7 linked regions of the Oryza sativa Japonica Group genome follow. The main gene of each other region encodes a partner of the protein of the gene in region 3 in a complex. Links are inferred from orthologs where the notes say so. Each region holds a gene or a part of one and is shown on either strand. Other genes may lie near its edges.

Evidence for each region.
Region 1: NAD(P)H-quinone oxidoreductase subunit T, chloroplastic (region 3) and NAD(P)H-quinone oxidoreductase subunit O, chloroplastic share a complex: the UniProt entries of both Arabidopsis thaliana proteins name them as parts of the chloroplast NDH complex. The link is inferred for Oryza sativa Japonica Group from reciprocal best matches to the Arabidopsis thaliana genes NdhT and NdhO.
Region 2: NAD(P)H-quinone oxidoreductase subunit T, chloroplastic (region 3) and photosynthetic NDH subunit of lumenal location 1, chloroplastic share a complex: the UniProt entries of both Arabidopsis thaliana proteins name them as parts of the chloroplast NDH complex. The link is inferred for Oryza sativa Japonica Group from reciprocal best matches to the Arabidopsis thaliana genes NdhT and PnsL1.
Region 4: NAD(P)H-quinone oxidoreductase subunit T, chloroplastic (region 3) and photosynthetic NDH subunit of subcomplex B 4, chloroplastic share a complex: the UniProt entries of both Arabidopsis thaliana proteins name them as parts of the chloroplast NDH complex. The link is inferred for Oryza sativa Japonica Group from reciprocal best matches to the Arabidopsis thaliana genes NdhT and PnsB4.
Region 5: NAD(P)H-quinone oxidoreductase subunit T, chloroplastic (region 3) and NAD(P)H-quinone oxidoreductase subunit S, chloroplastic share a complex: the UniProt entries of both Arabidopsis thaliana proteins name them as parts of the chloroplast NDH complex. The link is inferred for Oryza sativa Japonica Group from reciprocal best matches to the Arabidopsis thaliana genes NdhT and NdhS.
Region 6: NAD(P)H-quinone oxidoreductase subunit T, chloroplastic (region 3) and photosynthetic NDH subunit of lumenal location 5, chloroplastic share a complex: the UniProt entries of both Arabidopsis thaliana proteins name them as parts of the chloroplast NDH complex. The link is inferred for Oryza sativa Japonica Group from reciprocal best matches to the Arabidopsis thaliana genes NdhT and Pnsl5.
Region 7: NAD(P)H-quinone oxidoreductase subunit T, chloroplastic (region 3) and photosynthetic NDH subunit of lumenal location 4, chloroplastic share a complex: the UniProt entries of both Arabidopsis thaliana proteins name them as parts of the chloroplast NDH complex. The link is inferred for Oryza sativa Japonica Group from reciprocal best matches to the Arabidopsis thaliana genes NdhT and PnsL4.

Annotation. Positions count from the first base shown.
Region 1 is NC_089035.1:42,962,927-42,966,248, reverse strand, and holds NAD(P)H-quinone oxidoreductase subunit O, chloroplastic, read right to left. Parts: upstream 1,930-3,322; 5' UTR 1,865-1,929; coding exon 1,624-1,864; intron 1,474-1,623; coding exon 1,418-1,473; intron 1,292-1,417; coding exon 1,226-1,291; intron 1,111-1,225; coding exon 1,069-1,110; intron 991-1,068; coding exon 931-990; intron 834-930; coding exon 804-833; 3' UTR 501-803; downstream 1-500. Other genes in the region: phosphatidylserine decarboxylase proenzyme 2, read left to right, coding at 2,902-3,132, 3,278-3,322. UniProt on the Arabidopsis thaliana protein: NDH shuttles electrons from NAD(P)H:plastoquinone, via FMN and iron-sulfur (Fe-S) centers, to quinones in the photosynthetic chain and possibly in a chloroplast respiratory chain.
Region 2 is NC_089037.1:9,604,744-9,608,372, forward strand, and holds photosynthetic NDH subunit of lumenal location 1, chloroplastic, read left to right. Parts: upstream 1-1,221; 5' UTR 1,222-1,341; coding exon 1,342-1,383; intron 1,384-1,459; coding exon 1,460-1,556; intron 1,557-1,642; coding exon 1,643-1,726; intron 1,727-1,869; coding exon 1,870-1,943; intron 1,944-2,053; coding exon 2,054-2,176; intron 2,177-2,308; coding exon 2,309-2,380; intron 2,381-2,565; coding exon 2,566-2,662; intron 2,663-2,815; coding exon 2,816-2,925; 3' UTR 2,926-3,129; downstream 3,130-3,629. Other genes in the region: E3 ubiquitin-protein ligase CSU1, read left to right, coding at 38-716. UniProt on the Arabidopsis thaliana protein: NDH shuttles electrons from NAD(P)H:plastoquinone, via FMN and iron-sulfur (Fe-S) centers, to quinones in the photosynthetic chain and possibly in a chloroplast respiratory chain.
Region 3 is NC_089045.1:6,122,221-6,125,421, reverse strand, and holds NAD(P)H-quinone oxidoreductase subunit T, chloroplastic, read left to right. Parts: upstream 1-1,180; 5' UTR 1,181-1,237; coding exon 1,238-1,572; intron 1,573-2,013; coding exon 2,014-2,434; 3' UTR 2,435-2,701; downstream 2,702-3,201. Other genes in the region: pyruvate kinase 1, cytosolic, read right to left, coding at 2,803-2,961, 3,174-3,201. UniProt on the Arabidopsis thaliana protein: NDH shuttles electrons from NAD(P)H:plastoquinone, via FMN and iron-sulfur (Fe-S) centers, to quinones in the photosynthetic chain and possibly in a chloroplast respiratory chain.
Region 4 is NC_089036.1:31,695,870-31,699,353, forward strand, and holds photosynthetic NDH subunit of subcomplex B 4, chloroplastic, read left to right. Parts: upstream 1-1,497; 5' UTR 1,498-1,603; coding exon 1,604-1,693; intron 1,694-1,797; coding exon 1,798-1,842; intron 1,843-1,936; coding exon 1,937-2,090; intron 2,091-2,184; coding exon 2,185-2,240; intron 2,241-2,329; coding exon 2,330-2,401; intron 2,402-2,548; coding exon 2,549-2,677; 3' UTR 2,678-2,984; downstream 2,985-3,484. UniProt on the Arabidopsis thaliana protein: NDH shuttles electrons from NAD(P)H:plastoquinone, via FMN and iron-sulfur (Fe-S) centers, to quinones in the photosynthetic chain and possibly in a chloroplast respiratory chain.
Region 5 is NC_089041.1:5,276,820-5,279,791, reverse strand, and holds NAD(P)H-quinone oxidoreductase subunit S, chloroplastic, read left to right. Parts: upstream 1-1,418; 5' UTR 1,419-1,509; coding exon 1,510-2,247; 3' UTR 2,248-2,472; downstream 2,473-2,972. UniProt on the Arabidopsis thaliana protein: NDH shuttles electrons from NAD(P)H:plastoquinone, via FMN and iron-sulfur (Fe-S) centers, to quinones in the photosynthetic chain and possibly in a chloroplast respiratory chain.
Region 6 is NC_089039.1:192,030-196,325, forward strand, and holds photosynthetic NDH subunit of lumenal location 5, chloroplastic, read left to right. Parts: upstream 1-1,496; 5' UTR 1,497-1,533; coding exon 1,534-1,563; intron 1,564-1,662; coding exon 1,663-1,851; intron 1,852-2,603; coding exon 2,604-2,754; intron 2,755-2,858; coding exon 2,859-2,947; intron 2,948-3,525; coding exon 3,526-3,580; intron 3,581-3,667; coding exon 3,668-3,753; intron 3,754-3,839; coding exon 3,840-3,992; 3' UTR 3,993-4,229; downstream 4,230-4,296. Other genes in the region: uncharacterized protein, read right to left, coding at 321-499. UniProt on the Arabidopsis thaliana protein: NDH shuttles electrons from NAD(P)H:plastoquinone, via FMN and iron-sulfur (Fe-S) centers, to quinones in the photosynthetic chain and possibly in a chloroplast respiratory chain.
Region 7 is NC_089036.1:32,085,055-32,088,927, forward strand, and holds photosynthetic NDH subunit of lumenal location 4, chloroplastic, read left to right. Parts: upstream 1-1,479; 5' UTR 1,480-1,554; coding exon 1,555-1,956; intron 1,957-2,190; coding exon 2,191-2,283; intron 2,284-2,389; coding exon 2,390-2,450; intron 2,451-2,578; coding exon 2,579-2,647; intron 2,648-2,825; coding exon 2,826-2,893; 3' UTR 2,894-2,945; intron 2,946-3,055; 3' UTR 3,056-3,373; downstream 3,374-3,873. UniProt on the Arabidopsis thaliana protein: NDH shuttles electrons from NAD(P)H:plastoquinone, via FMN and iron-sulfur (Fe-S) centers, to quinones in the photosynthetic chain and possibly in a chloroplast respiratory chain.

The sequences.
Region 1 (3,322 bases), on a different chromosome or scaffold from region 3:
ATTAACTCGTAAAAATAACATGCGTTCCAAAAGAGCTTCATAACAAAACAAGGTGGTAATAACATGTGATTAATTAAGTTTTAATTATTACAAATTTAAAAACTAGATTAATCTAATATTTTAGAACAACTTTCGTATAGAAAGTTTTCGCACGAAACACACCGTTTAACAGTTTGAAAAGCGTGCCACGAATATCAAAAAAAAAATATCCTCTCTTCCTAGAGGATTCAAACGGGGCCTAGTGATGGATTTGTGCGTACAGAAGAAGTATGTTCATTAGAGTTTAAATTCTGATATCCGCAGTTACACGTACAATGAGTATTCTTTCAGTAGAACTTTTAGTTATTTCATGCATTACGAACGTGTTTAAAAGAGACGTTCTCATGGGTATGTGCATCCGTTAGCCTATTCTATATCAGTATATCTCTAACATTTTTTTTTTGAAGCTTACAGAATACGATCAGATGGCACGATAATTAGCCATCTCAAAAAATGAATCTGAATAGCTCTGAATATCATCACTTAACTTTTGTTAAATTTTTCAGTTCAGTATAATTAATTTAGATGCGGAGCAACAGGCAACAGCAAATCGCCTCATATTGACATCTATATACAACACATTGTCATATATCACGAACCGACTGAAAACATCTGCAGATTAATCGTCGGAAGAACCGAAATAGGGGAAGAATCTGCAATGCAGGGAAGAAAACAACTGAAAAAACGCTAGTCTGGCAGGCCAAGGACCGATCTCCCACCCGATTGCTGAGCTAGCTTGAACGCAACCTTCGATCCTGTGCATATCATATTCTCTCGTAGTCGAGTTTATCCGACTGTAAAAATAGTGTTAAGATTAAGTGGTCAAATGATGGTACATTCTGCATTTTGGCAATGCTGCATGTGTGATGGACTTAGAGATACTGTAATTACCTTGATGAGCATGTAAGTTGGCAGCCATGCCGGTGGAGTTGGGATTCCAACCCAAGCGATCTGTCCAAACATATGAATGAGATTCAGAAGTCCAAATCTACAAAATATACAGAAGAAATGAAGTGGCAGGTGACTCACCAGGGCATACTCCCCTGTTTCAAAGATTCTGATGTCCAAAACCTGCACGGTAATGACGAACAAGATTATGACCGTAGCTAGAACGAAGATGTTCTTACTGCTAGGTTTAATTAGCTGAAATTAACTTCAGGTTCAGTAAGATGGGCTAAATAATTACCTCGCCACGGTCCTCGTATATGTAGTCTAGCCCCTTGAAGAAAGGCGGGTGTCCAACTGACAGATACTGAATCAATGAAACAAATTTTTAAAAAAAATCATGTGCAGGGGAGGAAATCATAGACTGAAATTACAGCACAAAGAGTAGAAATGAATGAAGCATCTATGCAGTAGCATCGATCAGTGTGCTTACGTTGATGCTGTTCAAGTACTTCTCCTTGTCGACGCGCACAATCTGGCCCTTCTTCACTGTGGCGCATCATCAACCAAATCAATTGGATGAAAATAAATGGATTGGTTAATCAAGTATAAACAAAAAAACAAACAAGAAGCTAAATGGCTTTGATGCTTGTTCAGAACTCAGAGCTGAAATGCAAAGTTGCAAAGCGTATTCATTACTCGAGTAGACAGGTTTCTTCTTGAGGATCTTCTTCGGCGCCGGCGCAGCCGCCTGGCCGTCTCCCGCCGCCGCCGCGGCGCCGCCGGTGGCGGGCTTTTTCTCCTCCCCGGCCGGCTCGGCGGCGGCGGCGGCCGCCTTGACAGGAGAAGCAACACGTCTCCTCCTCCTGGCTGACGCCGGCCAGCACGCGGTTGGCGTGACGGAGAAGAGAGCGCGCGGCGAGGAGAGGAGAGCTTCCATGGCGAGAAGCTTAGCTTTGGCAATGGCAATGGCAAAAAGCAAAGTGACGAAGTGCACGTAAATATGTGCCACATGAATTGCACGCGGCAGATAAGGTGACCACTGGGCCTGAGCTAGCGCTCTCAGTTTTGGGCCAACTGTCACAAAGCTTCAGGCCCAGCTCACCTCATTTGGGTAAGGCCCATATATGATGATTATATTATATGAATGAATTAGCAAAAGAAAAGAGAGAGAGAGATAGACAGAAAAAATAAAGGAGAATTGGAGGAGTCAAGGTCATGGATCATGACACCGTCTTAGATTGTTGTATGCTCGACCTCAGCGAATGAGCGAGCAAATGAGGAATTCCGCTTTAGTTTTATGTCGCTATTTAGCTTGGAAAGAGTAAACAACAGCGGCAAGTGGAAGGGAGAAAAGCGTTGAGAGCAATGCAAAGCCTAGCTTAAGCTTAGGAGGACACCCCCCCCCCCTTTTTTTTTTTTTTTGCAATGGTCATCTTCTACCTTTGCTTCTGCTGGTTTGTGGCACTTGTCGTAACATGCACAATTGACCGATGCCAAGGATCCTTCCTCCTCAAATGAATCCACCGCGTTTTCAACGTCCCCATCCATCCATGATCCATCCCATTTGACCTCTACTTTAGCAAAACATAGCAACCCTTCGAAAATATTCGATCAAACCGGCCCCACGCGTACCATTATTTTGTCTTGCGACGGTTGCGCTGGAAAAAAGCAAAAAAAAATCATGAATCTTCTTCCGCATGTCCAGGTAGTGAATGATCCGAGCATATCCTGGCCCCACATGTCAGTCTAACGAACACCCAGGCGACTCCTGCTTGGGTACGGCCTTTTGCCTTTCCCAGATGTATAACAACTGCCATGTGGAAACTGCCATTAATTATTATCTGTATGACATGTGGGGACCACCCGATGACCCTTCCTCCTACTCTGCCTCGCGTTTAAAAGGTCATCGCCTTTCAAGTCTCTCGCTGCGCCTGCGCGTTGCCGTCGAGTCCAACTACTCCATCTCACTGACAGATGGGCCATTCGCCCTCGCGCCACAATGCATGCGGCGGCGGCGGCGGCGACGGCGAGTCGCCGCCCTCGCCGCTGCCGTCTCGCTTCGAGCGGTTCCGCCGCCGCCTCCGCCTGCGCCACCGCGACCGCGCGGGGCGTCCCGGTGGCGACGCCCACGCCTCCGAGTCGGGGACGGGGAGGGCCATCGCCGTCGACGAGTTCGCCGGCATCGCGCGCATCCGGATAGTGAAGGTACGGGGCCGGGTTGGGTGTGTGTGCTTGCGGCTGCGAAGCGGAGGGGGGTGGAATTGGGGATCGGTGGTTTTGATTCATTCCGTCTGTGTACGCTGCTGCTGTGGTTTTGTACGCGTTGTTTTGATTTGGTTGGTGGCCACAGGCGGATATGCAGTTCAAGGACAAGTTCATCGCGTGCCTCTCGCTG
Region 2 (3,629 bases), on a different chromosome or scaffold from region 3:
CGGATGGAATTCTGAGTGTTAATTCTTGTTCTTCCAGCAAACTTGCTGCTCATGAGGCCCAGAAAAAGCTGGAGAAGGAAGAGGAGGATGAGAAGCGTATGCTGCAAAAGTCCAAGGAGTTGGACGCTTTTGATCAGCAGAATCATGGAGCCGTCCCCCAATACCACGATCGCAGCGGCTCTGAAGACAAGAATGGTTTTCATGGAGCAAACAGCGTGAAGGTTACTTCCTTTGAGGAGGAAGCCCTTCGCAACATGAAGGCATTCTGGCTTCCATCAGCTACACCTGAAGCTACTGCCAAAGTAGAAGCTCCCTCCACTGACACAATCTGCCCCGAGGGACAGGAGAAGCTCAAGTTGAAATCGCTCTTCCCTATCTCCTTCACTGAAGAAAACACCGACCAGAAAAACAAGAAGTCGGTGGAGAAGAGCTACATGTGCCCCAGTTGCAAGTCTACCCTAACAAACACCATGTCCCTGGTGACGATCAGCACGTGTGGCCATGTCTTCTGCAAGAAGTGCTCTGACAAGTTCCTTGTAACTGATAAGGTCTGCTTGGTGTGCAACAAACCGTGCAAGGAGAGGAATTTCGTTCCTTTGGAAAAAGGAGGAACTGGATTCGCTGCCCATGATGAGCGTCTAGAGGCGAGAGATTTCAAGCATTTGGGGAGTGGTTCTGGACTGGGTTTAGTGAAACCTGCCCCAAAGAACTACTAGCCTCAAAATATCTTAGCTGCTGTTGTATATTATTTATGTTAACCTGAAAATTTTGTTTCAAGCATCCCCTTTCGCTGTGAACAGTCTGGAGCAAATTCAGTCTTGTTATGCTAGTGGCACTATGGTTGCTAATTGCAGCTTTGCTTATTTGCTATGGCTAAATGCGTTAGTTCGCAGCTGTTGTACTATTTATCTACCAAGTTTGAAGCACAGTCAAAATCATCTTTCTTGTTACATCGAAGCTATCGAATATGTATCGCATGATCTGATGGTAGGATCGTGTGTGTGTGTGTGTACATATATTGTTTTTCAGCCAAAGTCAATGTACAAAAAAAAAGGTAAAAAGAGAATTGGAAAAACATAAAGCTCTCACATATCTCCACCACAATCACAACAGGAACGGATTGGTCCCATTTTGTCAGTCAGTGCTCAGTACGAGACAAGGCCAAAAGTTCTAATGAGGATAATGGAAATGCTGACCTGGCTTCCTTGCCCTCCACTCACACAGACACACAGACTACACTTGAAAAGCGAACGAGCCAGTCCTAGCAGCAAAGGATAACTTGACTGGAGGAAGGCAAGAACACGTATTTTCTTCAGGTTCATAGCTACTCCTGCAGGTGAAATGGCAAGCCTGCAGAATTTGATCTGCTCCGTTTCCAAGCAGGTGTGTGCTTGTGCCCTCTTCTCATCGTTTTCTGAATCTTGTTTATTTCACCACTTTATATCGGTGTTGTTTTCAGTTGGTTGCTCCAAATTGTGCTGTTACCAGCAAGCTGAATGCGTCTCCTCTGTCAGTCGTCAACGCTAGCTCGAGTGAAGCATCCTCGGATGAAAAGAGTAAATTCCTCTCTGTCAGTTCTCTCGATGCATTTTGTTTCTGAAGATTAACATTTTTTTTGGCTGATTATCTCTCCATCTTACAGATGTGACAAGGAGGAGATTAGCTCTGCTTGGTGCTGGAGCATTAGCCACTGGTCTGCTAAAGAGCAGCTCTGCATATGCTGAAGGCATGGCCATCTGAACTGTCGCATGGTTTTATTTCAGTACTAGGTTGTCTGCATGTTACATACAAGTTCCCACTTCTCAAGTAGCCATTAAGCCTTTATGGCACCATGAGATGATACTAACTCGGATTGTTCCTATATTCCAGAAGTGCCAAAGAATTACAAGTCTTATGTGGATTCAAAAGATGGATATTCATACCTGTATCCAGCTGATTGGAGGGTAGGTTGCAATATTTTCGTCTTGAAGAACAGAGATGTCAGTTCCAATGACTGTGTTTTCGGTGGTACATGGTATTGATGTATGCCCTTTGTTTTGATGTGTCACTTCAGGATTTCGACTTCCTGGGGCATGATTCAGCGTTCAAAGATCGTAATGTAGCGCTGCAGTGCGTGCGTGTGGGCTTCATTCCTACTACAAAAACAGATATCCGTGACCTTGGTCCAATGGATGAGGTAGGATTTCATGCGATATCTGATAATATCTTTCTTGGTAATGTAAAGGAATCAGGCAATTTTTTTAGCCTTTTCTTTTGTTATACATCATAGATTTTTTTTATTCTGACAATTTACATACTCCTCTATCAGGCGATCTTCAATTTGGTGAACAATGTTTATGCTGCTCCAAATCAAATACCAACTGTCTATGACATGCAAGAGGTTTGCCATTTATCCATCTCCTTCAATCAATACTATTTAGCCATATGATCTATCTGAGTATACCAAACTGTCGCTGCATTGCTCTTTCGCTGATTAATTTACGTCTGATCTCATTGGAATGGCTATAACAAAGACTGCAACAACTCTGCAAGCAAAATAAGCAACTGAGTTGTTGTGATTCGCAGCGCACCGTGGATGGCAAGAACTACTGGACATTTGAGTACGATCTTGAGGCCCCGGGCTACGGCGTGTCCGCATTTGCGACGGTTGCCATTGGAAACGGTATGATATTGATATGATGCCTCCTCACCACAAGATCGCAGAGATATATATCATCATCATCTATTAAATTGTATATTTCATCATGCATGTATTTTTTTTTCCTCTCATAAGAAGAAGCTGGTTAACCTGATGGCAATGGCAATGGCATGGCAGGTCGGTACTACACACTGATCGTGACGGCGAACGAGCGGCGATGGAGTAGGCTGAGGAACAGGCTCAAAGTCGTCGCCGACTCCTTCAAGCTGTCCGACCTCACCGCGTGATGGGAGGCAGTTCAATTGCAGAAATATCTTTTATTTTATTGCTTCGTAGTCATGTAGATACATACATACATACAGACGCTGATCTACCACTAGAAAAAGTGCTGGATCGAACACCCTGGCTCAGCTTCCAGGAAAAAGGATGCATAATTACCTTATAGACTTCAATTAATTAATTGTGTGTATGCTATTAGAGCTATTTTTCTATTATAGCCATCTAATTATGTTGATTGAATCGGTTCAACCATCAGTTGCAACTTGCAAGCGACGAGTAGCCATCAGTTAAAAAGGCAGACCATTAGGCCATAGTCTCCGGAGCCAAGGACTTAACAGATCAACAGCGTTTCTATACAGACGTGTGCACGATCAAACCAATACATTACAGAGGCGAAAGGAATCAAGTACACAGGCCTCAGAAAGAATGTTTGCAACTCATATATTACAACAATTACAATGCCCTCCAAACTTGCTAACTATTTCCAGAATAAGTTCCCCTCCAAACCCGCTAACTATTTCCAGAATAAGTTCCTAGAGTTTCAACAAAGCTAGTCATCTGAATCTTCAGACTAAAATTTTGTTGTCAAGACCAGGTCACCATTCCGCTCATTCAGAGCAGCGCCAGCGACACCTAACATTTTTCCTCCGACAAAACGGTAAGCCACAGAACCATGACCCCTGGCTGAACAGAGCGAAAAGGAACTTGATCA
Region 3 (3,201 bases):
TAGCACATATTTGACCATTCGTCTTATTCAAAAACTTTTATGAAATATATAAAACTATATGTATACATATAAGTATATTTAACAATGAATCAAATGGTAGGAAAATAATTAATAATTACTTAAATTTTTTAATAAGATAAATGGTCAAATATATTTAAAAAGTTAACGACGTTAAATACTTAGAAAGGGAGGGAGTATGTTTTTTTTTAAAATTTTAGCTAATAGTTAATTAATCGTATGTAATCCGCCGCTTCATTTTCATTTCCTGAGAAAGATGTTCCCCTGCCGAACTCAGAATTTTTACAAGTAAAATAATACTAAGAAAGAAAGAATTACATGTTCGGGGATGTAGCTCAAATGGTAGAGCGCTCGCTTTGCATGCGAGAGGCACGGGGTTCGATCCCCCGCATCTCCATTTCGTCAATTTTTTTATCCCATTTTTCTCCATTTATCGTTAGCCATTTCATCCCTTCTTTCGACTGAGGTCTGAGGATATAGCTGTTATTTATCCGGCTACGAGCCAATGCACGTAAACAATCTCCATCCATGTCCAAACTGGCAAGAAGCCAAAAACCCAAAACGAAACATGTGGATTAGCCTTTTCGTTGTGGCGTGCAAAAACAATTTACCCGAGGATAGCTTTATTTTTCTAGTTTTATGTGGTATAGGCGTAAGTAACAATCGGTTGGAAGGATAGCTAAAATTTTTCATCTCCATCGTTTCTCTTGGATTGAGATCTTTCGAGTGCAGTCAGAGAAGCACGCTGTTGTGACTTTAGGGTATTCTCAGCCGTCCGATCTATAACGAACGGATGAGATTGATCGCTACAATACTCTAGAGTAACACGCGAGCAGTATCTATGTACAGTATAGTTACTATTTACCACTAATACTATAGTAAATAACTGCAAAATCACTGTTCCACACGGTAGCACAGGATACAATTTACTTTGCTCCTCTCCCTTTAGCACTTAAAATTTAGAGCCGGATCCCATTTTCTTGGCGTGAAGCTATACGTGGGCCCGGGAGATGCCATGCTGGCAGGTGGGCCCCACGCCAGGGCCCCACCTCATCGCCTCCTCACCACGTCTCGCGCCGCAGCGTATGCACACCTCCTCAGCCTCGAGCTCCTTTGGAATGCACCACCACCTCAAAAAATAATAACAAAAACAAAAGCACTCGACTCGACTCGTGCGCCGCCGCGCGCGCGCACGCACGCACACTCCGGCCTCGCTCGCATGGCGGCGTCCACGGCATCCGCCCCGTTCACGCCGCTCCTCCACCGGCGGCGAGCGAGCGTCCACGGCCGGCGCGGGAGCGGGAGGGCGTTCGTCGCCGTCGTCGTCGCGGCGGCGGCGGGGGGCGCGCCGGAGACGGAGCCGTCCCCGGCTACGGCGGCCGGGGCGGCGGCGCAGGGGAAGAAGAAGACGGTGGACACGAGGATACACTGGTCGGACCCGGACGAAGGGTGGGTCGGCGGGAACGCCAAGAAGGACGGCGGCGGCCGGAAGAAGGAGCCGCTCGGTGGGAGGTTCGCCGACCTCATCAACAACCCGTCCGAGTCTCACTACCAGTTGAGTGCTACTGCTGCCTCTCTTGTCCCATTCTTCATTCATAATTGAACAAATTTCAAAATGACTTGAATTTTGGACAAACTTCAACCAAAATTGAATAAGTCTCGAAATTTCCAACCCGTATGAAAAAAAAAATCACCGTCCTAGTCACAATACCAATTGAGTGTTAACTCCAATGCATAGCGAATATTAGTAAATAACTTAATACCAAAATAACTAGAAGGGGACGAGGCTTTGAGCTTGGAGCTAGCCAGAAAACCCATTGATGTTTTTCGGAGATTGTTTGGTTTCGAGACAATTTTTAGGGGATGTGCAGGGACATTTTTTTTTCTCCTAACAAAACCTTGCCAATTTGCCAATTTTTGGTACTACCTATAGAATTTGAACTTACCTGAACAAATTCCAACAAAAAACTTGTACAAAAAAAAAATCAAACCCAGGTTCTTGGGGGTGGAACCGAAGGCGGACATCGAGGAGATAAAGGCGGCGTACCGGCGGCTGTCCAAGGAGTACCACCCGGACACGACGTCGCTGCCGCTGCGGGAGGCGTCGGAGCGGTTCATCCGGCTGCGGGAGGCGTACAACGTGCTGAGCCGGGAGGAGTCGCGGCGGTTCTACGACTGGACGCTGGCGCAGGAGGCCGAGAGCCGGCGCCTCCAGCAGCTGCGGTCCAGGCTCGAGGACCCCTACCAGCAGGACCTCGACAGCTACCAGTCCGTCCCCGACATGGTCGACCGCCTCGGCGGCCGCAACATGGACCTCAGCGACCAGGCCATGACCGCGCTCACCATCGACATCGGCATCATCATCTTCTGCGTCTTCTGCCTCATCTACGCCGTCTTCTTCAAGGAGCAGTACTAGATTATTCATTCATGCCAGGAAGAAGAAATTTTCAGGTACATATACACTCTCAAGATGTTGTTTGCTATACGTACGGGTGTATCATGATGTAATGCGAAATAAGTACTGCACATCCACACCAAGTAACCAAATGTCCCTGTATCCTGTATTTTGTCCACAAAATTGGATTGTTGCAATGTGTAAATAGGCTCTTGAATGAAATTATTGAAAAAGCAAGTATGGACCTAAAATGGGTAAATTGCCAAACAGCACAATTGGCCTTCCCTATTCTAGTCTCAATATCATGTCAAACAAGAAAGAAAGCAAAAAGGTAATCCGCCTCTGTGTGGTTGAAACTCTTGGACGGAATGTGGTAGGTGTCTAATCTTTTACGAACTGTCACACTCGATGATCTTGACAACAGATGAATCGCCGATCTTCTGGAAAATGATCAACCTGTCATAGGGCTTTAGCATACCAACCGAGCGACCATAGTTCTGTGCAAGTTTTATCCCGTACTCTTCCCTGGTGAGCCCACCAGTTTCAGCCTGTTACAGAAAGTGTTCACGCATATGTACATATTAAGAACAAGTTGAAATTTTAAAAATGCCAAATGGTAATTAAGAGGGGATAATGCAGCTATCATTTTTGTAGAACTACAAAGAAAATTTGCATTGTGGGCTACCGCAAGATGCAAGTTTTGGCATTGCAAAAAAGCAGAAAGTGAAGGTGCCTCTAGTATTTAGCAACTTCAACATACCTCCTCAGTACTCGCCATCAAAGGGTAG
Region 4 (3,484 bases), on a different chromosome or scaffold from region 3:
AAATATTGAACGTACGATTGGTAGGCTCCGATATTTGAAAAAATATTGAACGTACGATTTGTAGCGTCCGATTTAAAAATATTTCAACATAATTAAGTATTTGTGCAAAAATATTTTATTTTTCATATGATTTTTTTTATGTTTCACTCATTGGTATTTAACGTTTTGTGTAGTGGTTGTGATTGTTTCAGTTAGTAAATTGTTGTATTTCTCTAAATTTGAAACAATTCACGAGGTGAGTTGTAATATTTGTGTACATGTGATGAAACAGTTTTCTATCAATGGTGAGACAAGTTATTTTTTGAGACACATGTATATTTTTATCAAAATATAACCATGTGAGATCTTGTTATAAAGATTTAATGATGATGAATCTAATGGTATCATTGAAATTTAGATCAGAATATATAATTTTGGAGAAAAAAATATTTAAAATTTGAGGAAAAAATTAGGCACATGTAATAATAGAAGGGAGAGGGAGGGAGCGTATGCAAGCAGCAGCGCAAGCAACACATACAGGGGAGGCAAGCAACGTGGCACGTGAACAATGCAGCATGGGCGGCCTACATGCATGCGTATGCGCGCGGCAGTGCGGGGGTGAGCGTTGACCAGCAAGTGAAACATTATGTTATATATGGTGAAACAAAAAAAATCAACAACCGAAACATTTAAGTATTTTATGAAACATGGTGAAAATACACGTTGAAACATGTCGCTGGCACATATGAAACAACAAGTATTAACGAATTGAAACATATATTTTTCTTTTATCAAAATAAAATCATGTGATATTTTATTGTAAAGATTTAATTAGAACAAATATAATGGTGTGATCGGATCATAAATTGGATAAGTAATTTAAGAGAAAAATTATTTTGAAGCTTGCTAAAATACATACATGTGTGCATGGATGAGGTGGAGAGAGAGGAGAGAGAGTAGTAGCAGTTAGTTTCATGAATTTTGTGAAACACACCGATGACACATATTGAAACATATCACTATCACGTACGAAACATTTTGTTTTAACGTTTTGAAATACATGTTTTTCTTTTGACATAATATAATCATGTGATATCTCATTGTAAAGATTTAATTGCAACGAATAGAACGGTGTGATCGGATCGTAAATTGGATAAGTAATTTAGGATAAAAAATATCTAAAGAGAGGAGAAAAGAATGAAAAGAAGCAGTTAGACACATACGTTACAGTGACAGGGTTCGTTCTCACATGCCTGCATGGGCGTCCGATTTTTGGTGAGATGCCGGACGCCAAGCCGTAGCGCCCTCCAAGAAATGGCGGACGGATGCACGTAACGGGCCACGAGCCCACGGGTCAACCTAATCCCATCCGGCCCAAACATGACCTTGACCGGGCAAGGCCTAGCAACGCTCAAGCCCGCTTCAACCAAGCCCAAAATTCTTGTGCTTTTCGTCTGCCCAAGATCAGACAATGGTTGGCCACCCAAAAGTCTGACCTTATCCACTAAAATTTTCCATACAGATTACAGGTTACAGGTTTCACCCCTGAGCCAAACGTGAGCCCGCTACACTGACAACAACAAGCTCATCGCCAACCCGCTACTGAAGCAGCAGCCTACCAGCAATGGCGTTGCCGCTGCTCAAGTCGTCCCCCCACTTCTCTGCTCTTCACTCCGCGAACAGAGCCCAGCTCCATGGCCGCTGCCGTGCAACGGTACCGCACCGTCCATTCTCCCCTTCGCGTTCATGCAAAAACTGCTTTCCTGAATTCCTTGCGAATTTCACCTACTTGTTCAAATGTTGTTGTTAAATTTGCAGCTCGGTGGATTCCATGACCCGAGGTCCAACTCCAGCCGTTGCAAGGTGAAAGGTCCCAGTGCATTTTAATTTTTTCACCGAGAAAGAAGAAATCCGTGGTGATTGGTGAGGCAAAGTAATGCGGTCTTAGCGTTTGCAGAAATCGGCCGGGAGGGGTTCAGTGAAGGCGAACGCGTCCCCGTTGGACGTGGTGACGCTGATGGTGACGATGGTGGAGCACGTCGACCTGCAGAGGGACTACGTCGTGCACAAGTCGATCTGGCATCTCAGCGACGCCGCCCTCAAGAGCGTCTGTGAGTCGTCGTCGTCGTTTCACCTTTCCTGCAGTTTGTTGTTACGTCTGAAACTGAAACTTTTCACAAAAAAATTTCTCTGTCTGTCTCGTAGATACCTTCTACGCCTTCTTCACAGTCTGGGGCATCTGCTTCTTTGCGTCCATGAAGGCAAGCACGCAGAACATATGCCACTACAACTTGGAACGAAATTACATCTTCGATATGTGTTACTGACACGGTCTTGTGTGAATTTACAGGATCCTTTCTACGACAGTGAGGCGTACAGGGGACAAGGGGGTGACGGCACCGTGCACTGGTACTATGACCGGGTATGTCTTTCATTACGGCTTTTTTTTTTTCCTTTATCACGAAGAAAGAACATTCAGACAATTAGACAAACTCTAGTTGTGCGAAGCTACTAAGATAACCAGTCATTTTGCTGATCGATCTCCACTCTCCCATGGTTGATTCTGCAGCAAGAGGACCTGGAGGCGTCTGCAAGAGAGGAGCTCCTGAGGGAGGAGCTACTCGAGGAGATCGAGCAGAGGGTCGGAGGGCTCAGAGAACTCGAGGAAGCAGCCAAGGAGGAGCAGCTTACAAACTGATGGATGAATGAGAGATTGCGCATGGATGGATGACTGCATGATCATGGCGCGATGCGGCTGCATTCTGTAATACCGTACAGAGCGGCTGTGTAATAGCAAGATACACAGTTGCCTGATAGCGCCTGTAAATGTTGGCATCAGACTCAAAAGGAAAGCAAATAGGTGCTCCGTCTGCATGAATGCATTATATTGCATTTGTAGTGTAGGCTAAAAGAAGGAATGTACTACTCCATGTTAATCAAAGAACCTGTACCGTTCACCATGGTGGATATTGCTTCCAAAATATATAAATTGTGTAAATCGACTGATATAGACCTACACCATGGTGGATATACGTGCCCTGTGGAGACGGAAGTTTTGTCAGATCGCAACCAAATTGTGGCGATCCAATATGCTTTCGTTCTGTCGGCTCTCACGGTGTCGGGCCAACTTTATTTGGGTCCAGTACAGAATGGTAGCGATTATGGGCTACCTTTACCGGGCCGCTCGGTGATGGACTGGCCCAAAAAACTCCGTTAGTTCGGCCTGCTTGCGCTGGTGGTCGCGCGCTGGGAATTGGACGCCATCGTCGGCCACGGCCATTCGATCGAGGAAGAAGAACCGCTGATCATACTTGAGCTGCTCCACTACAGGCCGCGAACCAGCAGCAATCAGTCTGCACTCAACGTACAGTACAGACCACACTACCACAGTAGGTAGCACATGTATATACTACTTGTATAGGGTGCAGAACTTCGTAGTATTCCGTCGATCAGCTCATCAGTCATCAGAGACTAACAATAGTTATTTCGACACAGGTCTCTCGAC
Region 5 (2,972 bases), on a different chromosome or scaffold from region 3:
CAGCCTTAGTAGTACCTTTCACTGTAAGAGCAAGTATAATAAAAGGCCGTTAGAAGGTTGAATGCTAACGTGGATGAGAGAGGAGAGAGAGAGGGAAAGCGAGTGGTATGCTTAAAACTAGCTTAGGCATAGGAACCAAGAAAATATGTGAGAGAAACATGGGAACCATATAGTTTATAGTTAAGAGCTAACTACTACATGAGTTGGCTGAGAGGTAGACTGTGAAGATCTTATACCACATTTGACGTGATTTGGGCTCGTCGTCTACTCCCTCCGTCCCAAAATAACTCAATATAGGATAGGATGTTACATATTCTAAGACAACGAATCTAGATTGAGTTATTTTGTGATTCTCTCCATCCCAAAGAAACCAACCTAAGAGGGGATTTGACCCCTCCCAGTACAACGAATCTGGACACTACATCTCCTCTTAGGTTGGGTTTTTTTTTACGGAGGAAGTATTTCTTACGGATAGTAACTTTAGGGGCCTATTTATGAAAAAAAATAAAAAGGGGCTTAAATGTAAAATTTTCAGTCGAAAAACACGAGGTCCTCATCCGAAATTCCTAATTGGCGACTGGTCGCGTGCCCCCTCACCCCGCGCGGATGGACGCGTGGCGCGCGTAGGAGGGGGAGGGGGCGCGGCGGCCGCGCACAGTGGGAGGCCCGCGTTCTTTTTTTTTCGCCGGTTTTTATGGTTGTTTTCTTCGGTTCTTTGTTTTTTTAAAAAAAAAACATCACATATATAAAGTTTGTATATACAGTATACAAAGTTTATATACATACGTATATAAAGTTTATATATATGCGTATAGTGTATATATAAAATTTATATACGTGATGGTTTTCCTCTATTTTTTTTTATTTTTTAAAATGAACATATATAAAGTTTGTATATATATCATAAACTTTGTTATACGTTATATATAAACTTTTGTATATGCGTATATATTTACATATAAAATATATTTTTTAAATAGTACTAGTAGTATATAATAACAGTAGTAGTGGTGTAGTGGTCCTAGTTACCAGTACTAGTAGTACTAGTACTAGTTCTAGTTAGCTGTGTTTATTCTAGAGTAAAGTTTAGATTTTGGTTGAAATTGAAGATGATGTGACTGAAAAGTTATGTGTGTATGATAGATTGATGTGATAGAAAAGGACTGAAGTTTAGATCCAAACTTTGGATCTAAACACAGCCTTAGTAGTAGTAGTTAGTAGTACTCCAGTTACTACTACTTCCTCCGTTTTACAATGTAAGTCATTCTAGTATTTTTCATATTCATATTGATGTTAACGTGTAATAAATGCTAGAATAATTTATATTATGAAACGGAGGGAGTAGTAGTTTAAAGTAGTACAGTGGTAGTAGTACTAGTAGTACTTTAAGTATATACTGTACTCCGTATAGCAGTACCAGTCGCCCATTAGCCACCCCCGGTCCTCATCCACCTAGGCTTTAAAGGCTTCGTCACTTCCACACATCCTCTGCTCCGCTCTGCTCCACCAATGGCGCCCACCACCCCCGCCTCCTTCCTCCGCCCGCCGCCGCTGCCCCACCACCACCACCCCCGCATCGTCCGCCTGCCCCCTCCCTCGGCGACCTTCCGCGTCGCTGACCTCCTCGGCGGCCGGGGTCTCTGCAACGGCGAGGTCGGCATCCGCAAGGAGCTCGCCTCCGACTCCCCCGCCGCGCCGCCATCCACCACCACTTCTTCCGACGAGCCCGCGGAGTCGCCACCGCCGCCGCCGGCTGCGTCCGGGGTGGACCCGGACGCGTTCGACAAGGAGATGATGGGCCTCACCGGCGGATTCCCCGGCGGCGAGGTCGGCCTCAAGGACTTCGTCGCCAAGAACCCGCCTCCCCCCAAGCCGGCGCACAGGAAAGGTCTCGCCGCCGCCGCCACGGTGGAGCGGCCGAGGGCGCCGGAGCTGCCGCTGTTCCTCCCCGGGATGGTGGTGCTCGTCAAGAACCCCAACAACGCCTACCACATGTACTGCGGCATCGTGCAGCGCGTCACCGACGGCAAGGTCGGGGTGCTGTTCGAGGGGGGGATCTGGGACAGGCTCATCACCTTCGATCTCGACGAGCTCGAGGGGAGGGAGAAGGGCCCGCCCATGGTGAACCCTAAGTCCGTGCTGCTCGAGTCCCTCGCCGCGGAGATGGAGGACGATGTGGCCAAGGAGGAGGAGGGAGAGGAGGCCAAGAAGAAGAAGGAGGAGGAAGGCACCGCCGCCGCGGCTTGACCACCATTGCTGCTTCTGCTTCTTCTTGTATGTATACAGCTATCTATATTTTCTTAGATGATGGAAGTGAAAGGGGTATATATATATATATTATCTATTCGATGAGTAATTTCGAAGTGAGTAAATGTGTTGTTGTTAATTGCTATATGTACAGTTGGAATCTTAGTGTGAATTGGCACTATGAAACAAACGATTCGGAGATAAAAGTTTAGCTTCTTTGTTGAATTGCTATATGTTTGATCAATTTGATCACGTTTGGTCCGGATTGCTAGTGAAATGCCTACAAGGGCACCAGTTGCCATAGTTCATTATGTTGGTAGGATTAATTTTTTTTTTTACAAACTTGAATTATCATCTCTTGCTTCTTGAAGCGAAGAGGCTATGACAGTCAGGTAACCAGGCTTTCATGATTGTAAATTGTACAGAGTATGAATGTTCAAGTGTTCGTTATTCCTGACATGACTTCAAAATCCCGCAGTATTTCGCACAGCAACTATCTATGCATTGTAGTTTACGTTTGCCTGATAGCTGGTTTCCCATGATTTTTGTTTATTTGAAAGAGTATATGAAAAGATAGGGCCTTTACTTCTATATAACCTGCCTTACTCAGGAATAAGTGTAGCAGCAGATTTAAAAGGATGGTAAAGGAAGACAGTGAAGTAACAATAATGATATAGTGTTTTGCAAACAGAGTACAATTTGTATTGATTACCACCATCTATATC
Region 6 (4,296 bases), on a different chromosome or scaffold from region 3:
CGATTGATGTGTGTGTATGTGACTATCAATCATGTCATGTCATGTAGGAGTAGTATATATGCACAATAGTAGCGTGATAATTTGTGTTATCAACAAGTGAGTCAGCTTGACATTATTACACAGAGAAAGGGAAACATGGGCTCGCGGCTATCTATCAAGTCTAGCTAACAGTAGGAATTCCCGTTGTTTTTGACCTATGCGAATTAATCAATAAGGAAAGGCGGATAGAGCAATAATAGGTTAACAAAGTGAAGAGAGGGAGAGAGAGATGTGGATCTAAATCTGGGGGAAGAGGGAGATGAGATGGGGAGGGGACTGACGCGGAACCCTGGTTGTAGAGGTTGAGGGTGACGGCGAGGCGCTCCACGCCTGGACCCGGGCGGGACAGCGCAACCTTCTTCTGTGCTACCACGAACGGCGCATCCTGCCCGGCGGCGGCGGCGAAGGGCACGAGGAGGAGGAGGAGGAGGAAGAGGAGAGATCGCCACTGCTGCGCCATCACCGCTCACGGAGATTGCTTTGCTTCTTCCACCTCACCTCGACCGAGGCTATTGTTACATTACATGTGTGTTCAAGCCCATCCCATCTATTACATGGGCCCCCGTGAATACTATGCCCATCAGCCCATTTTACTACCTCCTGCCTCCTATGCGGCCCCCTCCCCTCTCTACCAAAAAAAAAATAATACCACCTCCTATTCTTATTTTTTAGCATTGTCCATATTTATATATGTGTTAATAGATCTAGACATATATGAATGTGAAGTCTTATAACCTAAAACTCAAGAAAAATATTTACTCAGGTCCTAGTTTTAAAAAATACTCAAAATACATATAAGGTTAACAATTAATTTATTCATCTAAGGGTTTAAAAATATGAATTGTTTATGTAGCTTACTTACCCAACATGAAAGTTTATATATAAATTTCAAGTTTTCACTTTTTTAAAAAAAATATTTTTGAGTTTTTTATGAGAGAGAAATTACTTACGCAAAAGATAATTTACATTAGAAATGAGGTATGTTCTCGAAAAAAGTTACATTAAAAACAGCAAAAAAAAAATTCTTGCAGTATATAATGGATAAATAATTTTTTTTAAAAAAATATAAAAATGTAAAATCTTAAAACTAGTGCATAAACTAGCATTTTTTTTCTTCTGAAACTTATGGTAGGATAAATCAAATATTAACCTTATATGGTGTATTTTAGGTATTTTTGAAAATAGTATAGTCCGATGGTATATTGTATAATAATTGATAACTTACCGATATATTATAGAAAGAGACACTGTAAATAAATAAATTTTAAATAGTTGGATTGGGACAAATAGAGTTGATTTAACAGATGCTTTTGGTCCCAAAAATAAAATATAGTACTTCCCCCAATGAAGAAGGTGTGTGTGATTATTGTATTTCCTGTGCACACATATGCAAAAATGCCATCCATTCATCCCAGTGCAATGCCCTATCTACCTATCCAATCCCAATCCACCTGAGCGAGAGAGAGAGAAAGGGTCTCCTCCTCAACATCAACAATGGCGGTCGCAACCTCCTTCGCCACACTCGTAAGCTCACTCATCCATGGCCTCTGCTCTCCTCTTCTTCCCCACCGAGCTCTCAATCTTATTATCGTCGCTCTTTCTTCTCTTGTGTTTGCACTGCAGGCCATCGCGCGGCCGGCGGCGGAGCGGGCCCTCCTCGCCTCCAAAACCCCCTCGCCGCTCCTCTCCATCCGCACCGGCACCGGCACCGCACGCCTCCCCTCATCGGCCGTCTTTGGAGGTTTCACTCCTGCGCTTTCCGCTGCTCACAGCCGCGCGCGCTTCGTCTCCTCCGCCACCGCTGACCCCAAGGTACTGTGTCCCCGGATCTTCTTCTTTTATCTGCCCTACATATATCTTTCTATTGCCGCACCGCATCCATTCTTGTAATCCTGTCTAGTAGTATATCAGTCAAATTTACTACTCCACCTTACTGGACTATTATTATGCAATCAGCCTCCGCAATACCGGCCCCTGTTTGTTGCCTCTTTGGAGGAAGAGATATTGGGTTAGCACAGATGACCTCGACCTTCCAACACCATTAAATTAAAACTAATACTAGTAATGCCTTTGTATGTCAAATTTTGTTATCAGATTTTTAAATCACCAGGTGAAATTTATGCTACCAAAATTGCAGTTTCAGGCTTATCATCACCAATGCTTTATTATGTATTCACCTGCTCTGATTAATAATTTTAGTTGCCTCGACCATAGGGTTCTGCTACTTACAGGTCTTACCTTGTATGTGCACCGAATGTAAACACGTTATTCATCATCAGTGACTGCCTGCAACATTGTGAGGAAACACGTGTGCCCTTCTGTACTACTGAAAGCTGGGTTTTCCTTTCCCATGTGCACTATGCGCTTTCATGTTTTCCTCCACTAGATGTTAACTTACGATATACTACCTCCTTCCTTTAATATATGACGTTGGTTAGTTCAATTAACATCATACATAAAAGAACAGCGCAAGTATCGATTATTCTTACCCTATGTGGGAGAACTGGATACCACGCTTCAAATTTATTCTTTCAGTTTTGCTAAACTTCTCCCATACATTGCAGGAAGTGGACCTCCAGTCCAAAATCACAAACAAGGTGTACTTTGACATAAGCATCGGAAACCCTGTTGGGAAGAACGTTGGGAGGGTCGTTATTGGCCTATACGGGGATGATGTTCCCCAGACCGCAGAGAACTTCCGTGCTCTTTGCACTGGTACAAAGGGCTTCTTGCTTTTCTTCTCTTCTGTCATCTACTACTTTACAGGATTACCCAGATTTGGTGCATGATACACATACCATTGCCCTTTTCCTTTTCAGGAGAAAAAGGGTTTGGTTACAAGGGGTCCAGTTTCCACCGTGTCATTAAGGACTTCATGATTCAGGGAGGAGACTTTGACAAGGGCAACGTATGTCTTCATTATTTACTTTCTTTATAATCTACTCCTATGTTGCACTTGTTCCTCTGTTTCATCTGACAAACTCTATTGGAAAAAGTCACATAGTGTAACATTACTCACAACACTGAATGAGCTCATGTGTTTGTTTCTATCTATCACCATTGAGCCAACTATTTCTCCAAAAAAAAAAAAGTTTGATTTGTTTTATCAATGTTAGCGCTTTATGCTGTTTTGGATAGAAAGCTGACCTATATATGTGTTTTGGATCATTATACAACTTTGTGTTATGCACTTCAGTGCTTGCCCTATGGTGTTTTAGATCATTATACTGCTTTGCATCATGTACATTATGAGTATGAATTGGTAGTTTGTGATCAGCATAATGTGTATGCAGTGATTATTGACTTCATGGCTAGATTACAAGGAGATTAGCACCAAATCCTTTTTCTTTAAATTGATGGCCTAAATTAAATCATGCAGCTGCCTGGTTTCATGAATTATGAATTTTTGACCTAGCCTACATCAAATCATTCAGCTTTCAACTTCTGCATGTGGATAAAGTAGGTTTCAAAAAATGAATATTTCAGGGTACTGGAGGGAAAAGCATATATGGCCGGACCTTCAAAGACGAGAACTTCAAATGTACGTCTGACAAATGACCTAATCTGATCGTTCTTTCTGCTTCTTATCTTGTGGTTGTGCTGATTATATGTCTTGTAATGTTTGTAGTGGTTCATACTGGACCTGGAGTGGTCAGCATGGCCAATGCTGGGCCAAACACCAATGGCAGCCAGTTCTTCATCTGCACTGTCAAGGTAACACTGTACTGATATGTTCACTGTGTACTAGTGTCGAAACTCACTCAAAATTACATTGCGCTGACTGCTACCTGCGAATGCAGACACCTTGGTTGGATGGGAGGCACGTCGTGTTTGGGCAGGTTATTGAAGGCATGGACATCGTTAAGATGATCGAATCGCAGGAGACTGACAGAGGGGACCGCCCGAAGAAGAAGGTGGTCATCAGTGAGTGTGGGGAGCTTCCAGTGGTCTAATAGGTGCCAGAGGGCTAATCTTCTTCCCCCGGAGACTTTGCTGTTTTTGGTTTCATAGTAAGCTGTGAACTTATCGCATGTTCTCCGCGCAGTCAGAGATCATGCTGAGTTGAGGCCAAGATTTCTAAGTTGAGAAGAATCCTCTATTGTTCGGCTGGAATAAAACGTTCTTACCTGTCGAGGGTCAGGAAATAATGTTGTGGTTCATGAAAGATCAAATGTCTGTCTTTTCGTGCATACGCAGACTAAAGTTACTCCTTTCCCAATACCTTTTGTTGCTGCATACTCTCTCTGTCCTAAAAAA
Region 7 (3,873 bases), on a different chromosome or scaffold from region 3:
AAAAGGGGAAAAGGAGGGGGAGAAAGGGGCTTGCCCCTTTGCCGATTCGGGAAAAAGGGGAAGGGGAGCGGGAGCGTCGCGGCAGAGGGAGGAGGGGCGCGGCTCCGTCCCTTGGCGGCTTGCGCGCGGAGTGGCGGGGGCCGGGCGATGACGACGACGATGACGGGGGGACGGCTTGGAGCGGAGCGGCGACATTGGCGACAGGCGCGTGCAGAGGCTGACGGCGGCGGCGACCGGGCGGTCGACCACTCGGCACGCGCGCGCGGCTTGCAACGGGCGGCGTCCGCGCGGGCGCGCGCACGCGAACACAGCGCGCGGGAAGCGGCAGCGAGGGAGCGGTGAGGGAGGACTTGGCTCGGCGCGGGCGGCTTACGCGTGCTGGCTCGCGGGGCCGAGCGGAGGGGCGCAGGGCGCGGCTCTCGCGCTCGCGCGTGGCGCGCGAGGGAGGGGCGCTCGGCGCGGCGACGCGCGCTCGCGCGCGCGGCGCGGGGCGGAGCGGAGGGAGAGAGGGAGAGAGCGGGGGCGCGCCGGGGAAAGCGAGAGAGAGAGCCGGGAGAGAGAGGGGAAGATGGGCCGAGGGAAAATCGGCCCATCGACCCTGGGGGAGGCAAAATGGACTTTTGCGGAGGAATTTGATTTGGAGGGATTGGATTCGGAATTGAACTCGACGATAGATCGGGGATTGAGATCTTGAGATGGCACGGATACTAGACAACAAGCAAAGAAACAAATTTCGCAATTAGGGTTTTTAAGAGATAATTTCCCCGCTAGGCGCCACGACGGAACGGGCGCTACAGCAGGTCTGGCGAGGGGGGCGGGGAGGCCGGCGAGCTCGCCCTCATCCCACCTCCAACCCCTCCCCGCCTCCTCCCTCTTCGTATGCACTCGCTGCCGGCCTCCCCGCCTCCTCCCTCTTAGCATACGCTCGCTGCGGGAGCTGTGGGGGATGGCGGCGTTCTGGCTGCAGGCCAACCCCATCCTCGTCGGTGCCGCACCAAGTTGCCACATCGCCACCCGTCGCCAGCTGCCCTACCAGCCTCCTCCGCAATCCGCACCCGCTGGCCGCCCTGAGAAGAGAGAGAGGGAGGGAGAGGAGGGGAAAATGGGAAATAAGAGAGAGGTGATGATATGGCATCTTACATGTGGGACCCACGCGCTGACTCAGCCGTCACGTCAAATAAAACCGGGGTCAAAACCACCGAAGGATCTAAAGTGAACGGTTTTGTTAGTTGAGGAACGCCTGATATCTGGTTTTGCGGTTGGGAAACGATTTTGTAACTCGATGACAAGTTGAGGGACCTTCGGTGTACTTTTTCCTGGAATCATCTGTCGTTCCACGGGCCACGGCCGCCGTTTGGCGACGAGACACGCGGCTTGGCCCGCAAAAAAAACGAGGATTCCTTCCTCGGTCCTCGGGTGTTGAGTTGGGAAAGCCCATGGCCCGTGACGACGTACGCGGGCGTTTATAACGACGCGACAGAGAGGTGCCCGCGTTGCAGCAGCCACAGTTTGGGGATAATCCGATTCTCTACTCCCCAAGTGACTCACTCACCGATGGCGCCTCCTCCTATCTCCTCCTCCCTCTCGCTCATGGCCTCCAACCCAATCCCGTCGCCTCCGGTCGCCAAACCGGGCAGGCCGCTCACCGTCGCGGCGTGCAGCAACAGCAGCAGCAGCTCCTCCTCCTCCTCCCCGTCGTCGACCTCGTGCTCGGCTGCCTGGAGTCTCCCGGTGGCGACGTCGGCCGGCAGGAGGGGGCTGCTCGCGCTGGGCGCGGGGTTCCTGGCTTCCCCTGGGCTTCTGTGCCCCGCCGGCGACGCCGGAGCGACGCGCATCGAGTACTACGCGACGGTGGGGGACAAGCTGTGCGACATGAACGTCGTCAAGTCGGGGCTCGGCTACTGCGACGTCGAAGTCGGCACCGGCGCCCAGCCCCCGCGCGGCCAGCTCATAAATGTCAGTTCCGACAGAAGAGTTTCTCGCACTTTCTCTAGAAGAACCTGTGTTTTCTGAATATGATTAACTCCTGTATGGAGTAATTAAGCATTGGCAGATCATAAATTTGCCCAATTTGCATCAGTACCGATCCTTTAGTTAGTTCGACAACGAATAAACCTGCCATTTTTTTCTCGCCATGACACTGATAGGAGTTTCAAGTGTGTTAATTGGAGTTGTGTTCATGGTTGTAAGGTACACTACACTGCAAGATTTACTGACGGGATAGTGTTCGACAGCACCTACAAGCGAGGACGGCCACTGACAATGCGCCTTGGCGCAGGCAAGGTGCGCAGCTTTTGTTCATTGCACGTACATCTTCGATCGTAGCAAGCATCTTATGTAGTTATGCAAGGAATCTTATTGTTTGGTTCGTTCGCATTTTCATTCTCAGATCCTCCGAGGGCTTGAACAGGGAATCAGTGGTGGCGGTGGTGTGCCACCCATGCTCGTTGGTACTGTCAGAAATCCAGAAATAATAAGCATATGCATCTCTTTGTGTGTCAAATGCTAAAAATATAGTACTGCTTTTATTTTTCTTAATCACATCGTGTCTCTGTTGAAAATCGCAATAACATTACAGGTGGAAAGCGCAAGCTTATGATACCTGCAACTTTGGCATACGGACCTGAACCAGCAGGTTGCTTCTCAGGTAATAACGAAAGAAAAAAAAAAGTAATCAAACAAGTAATCTTAATTTAATTCTAGAAATTTGAGACCAGATTAAGTTTCATGTATTTAACGATGTTTCAGTGCTATCTGTCTGGCTCCCTTATTAGCATTCGCTAGAAAAAATATACAAATTTACAGAAGATTTACTTATTTAACAGGAGACTGTAATATTCCCGGCAACACCACACTCCTATACGACATCTTCCTGGTTGGATTTTACAAGTGAGCATATGATGAAAAGGAATATGCATGACTTGAACAGACTAGGTGCAAACAAGGTATGGTGGTGGTATTCTGAACCTGTCTGATTTTTTTTTCATCTGAAAACAGTATCCCTTGCCTAAAGGGGTTGTTGTTTGTTACATAAGCATGTTACATTCTCTGGCAGATTTTCGAGTAAATTTTGGCGTTTCATACAAGAGGCGGGACTACGGACAGATGAAGAGAAAGGGTGCGACATGCCTAAGCCCAGACGCCGAAAGCAAATGCGTCACCGGAGCTCCTTGGGTCTCCAATACGCAGAGTACTACATTTGCAATCTGTACCAAGAAGTGAAAGGATATATAACAAACCGGTCCTCTGATATACTATCAAATTGGTCTTATGTTTTCTAGAGAAGAAAAGTCTTGTGTTTGTGTAAGTATAACGTTGTAAAGACATGTCTCATTATTCATACTGTCATTGGTACAGCCAAACACAACAAAAATTCCCATCCTTTGTGGCAAGTCCTAACTAAATGAAGTTGAACTCTGACTGAATATCGATTGACTGGTGACTTCCAAACCTTCAACAGTTCAAGCAAGCTAATCGACTGTATCAATACTAATGTACTCAAAAAAATGTCGAAAGTTCGTGTCAAAGCACATGTGCAGTAGTAGCTTTGAGCCTTTGACTGCTGTCTGCACTGCAGTATTGCCACAAGATAATTTAATCATAGGTTTGTTAACCATCAAATCGAAACATGCATTGTTCAGACTTCAGAGAATATCCTAAAATCCTTTTATGAAACCAAAGAACACCCAAATCGTGAGAGTTGAACTATCGATTGACCGGTTCAGAGCCAGAACTGGTAGGTGAATGAGGGAAGAAAAGGAGAGCTGCCATTTCCGTGGCAGGAAGACTCAAGAATTCCAAAAGCTTCTTGTCGGTTTAAAACGAAAACCTTTTTCGTCAGATGCTCTGAATGCTGCTCGGTGTCATGAAATT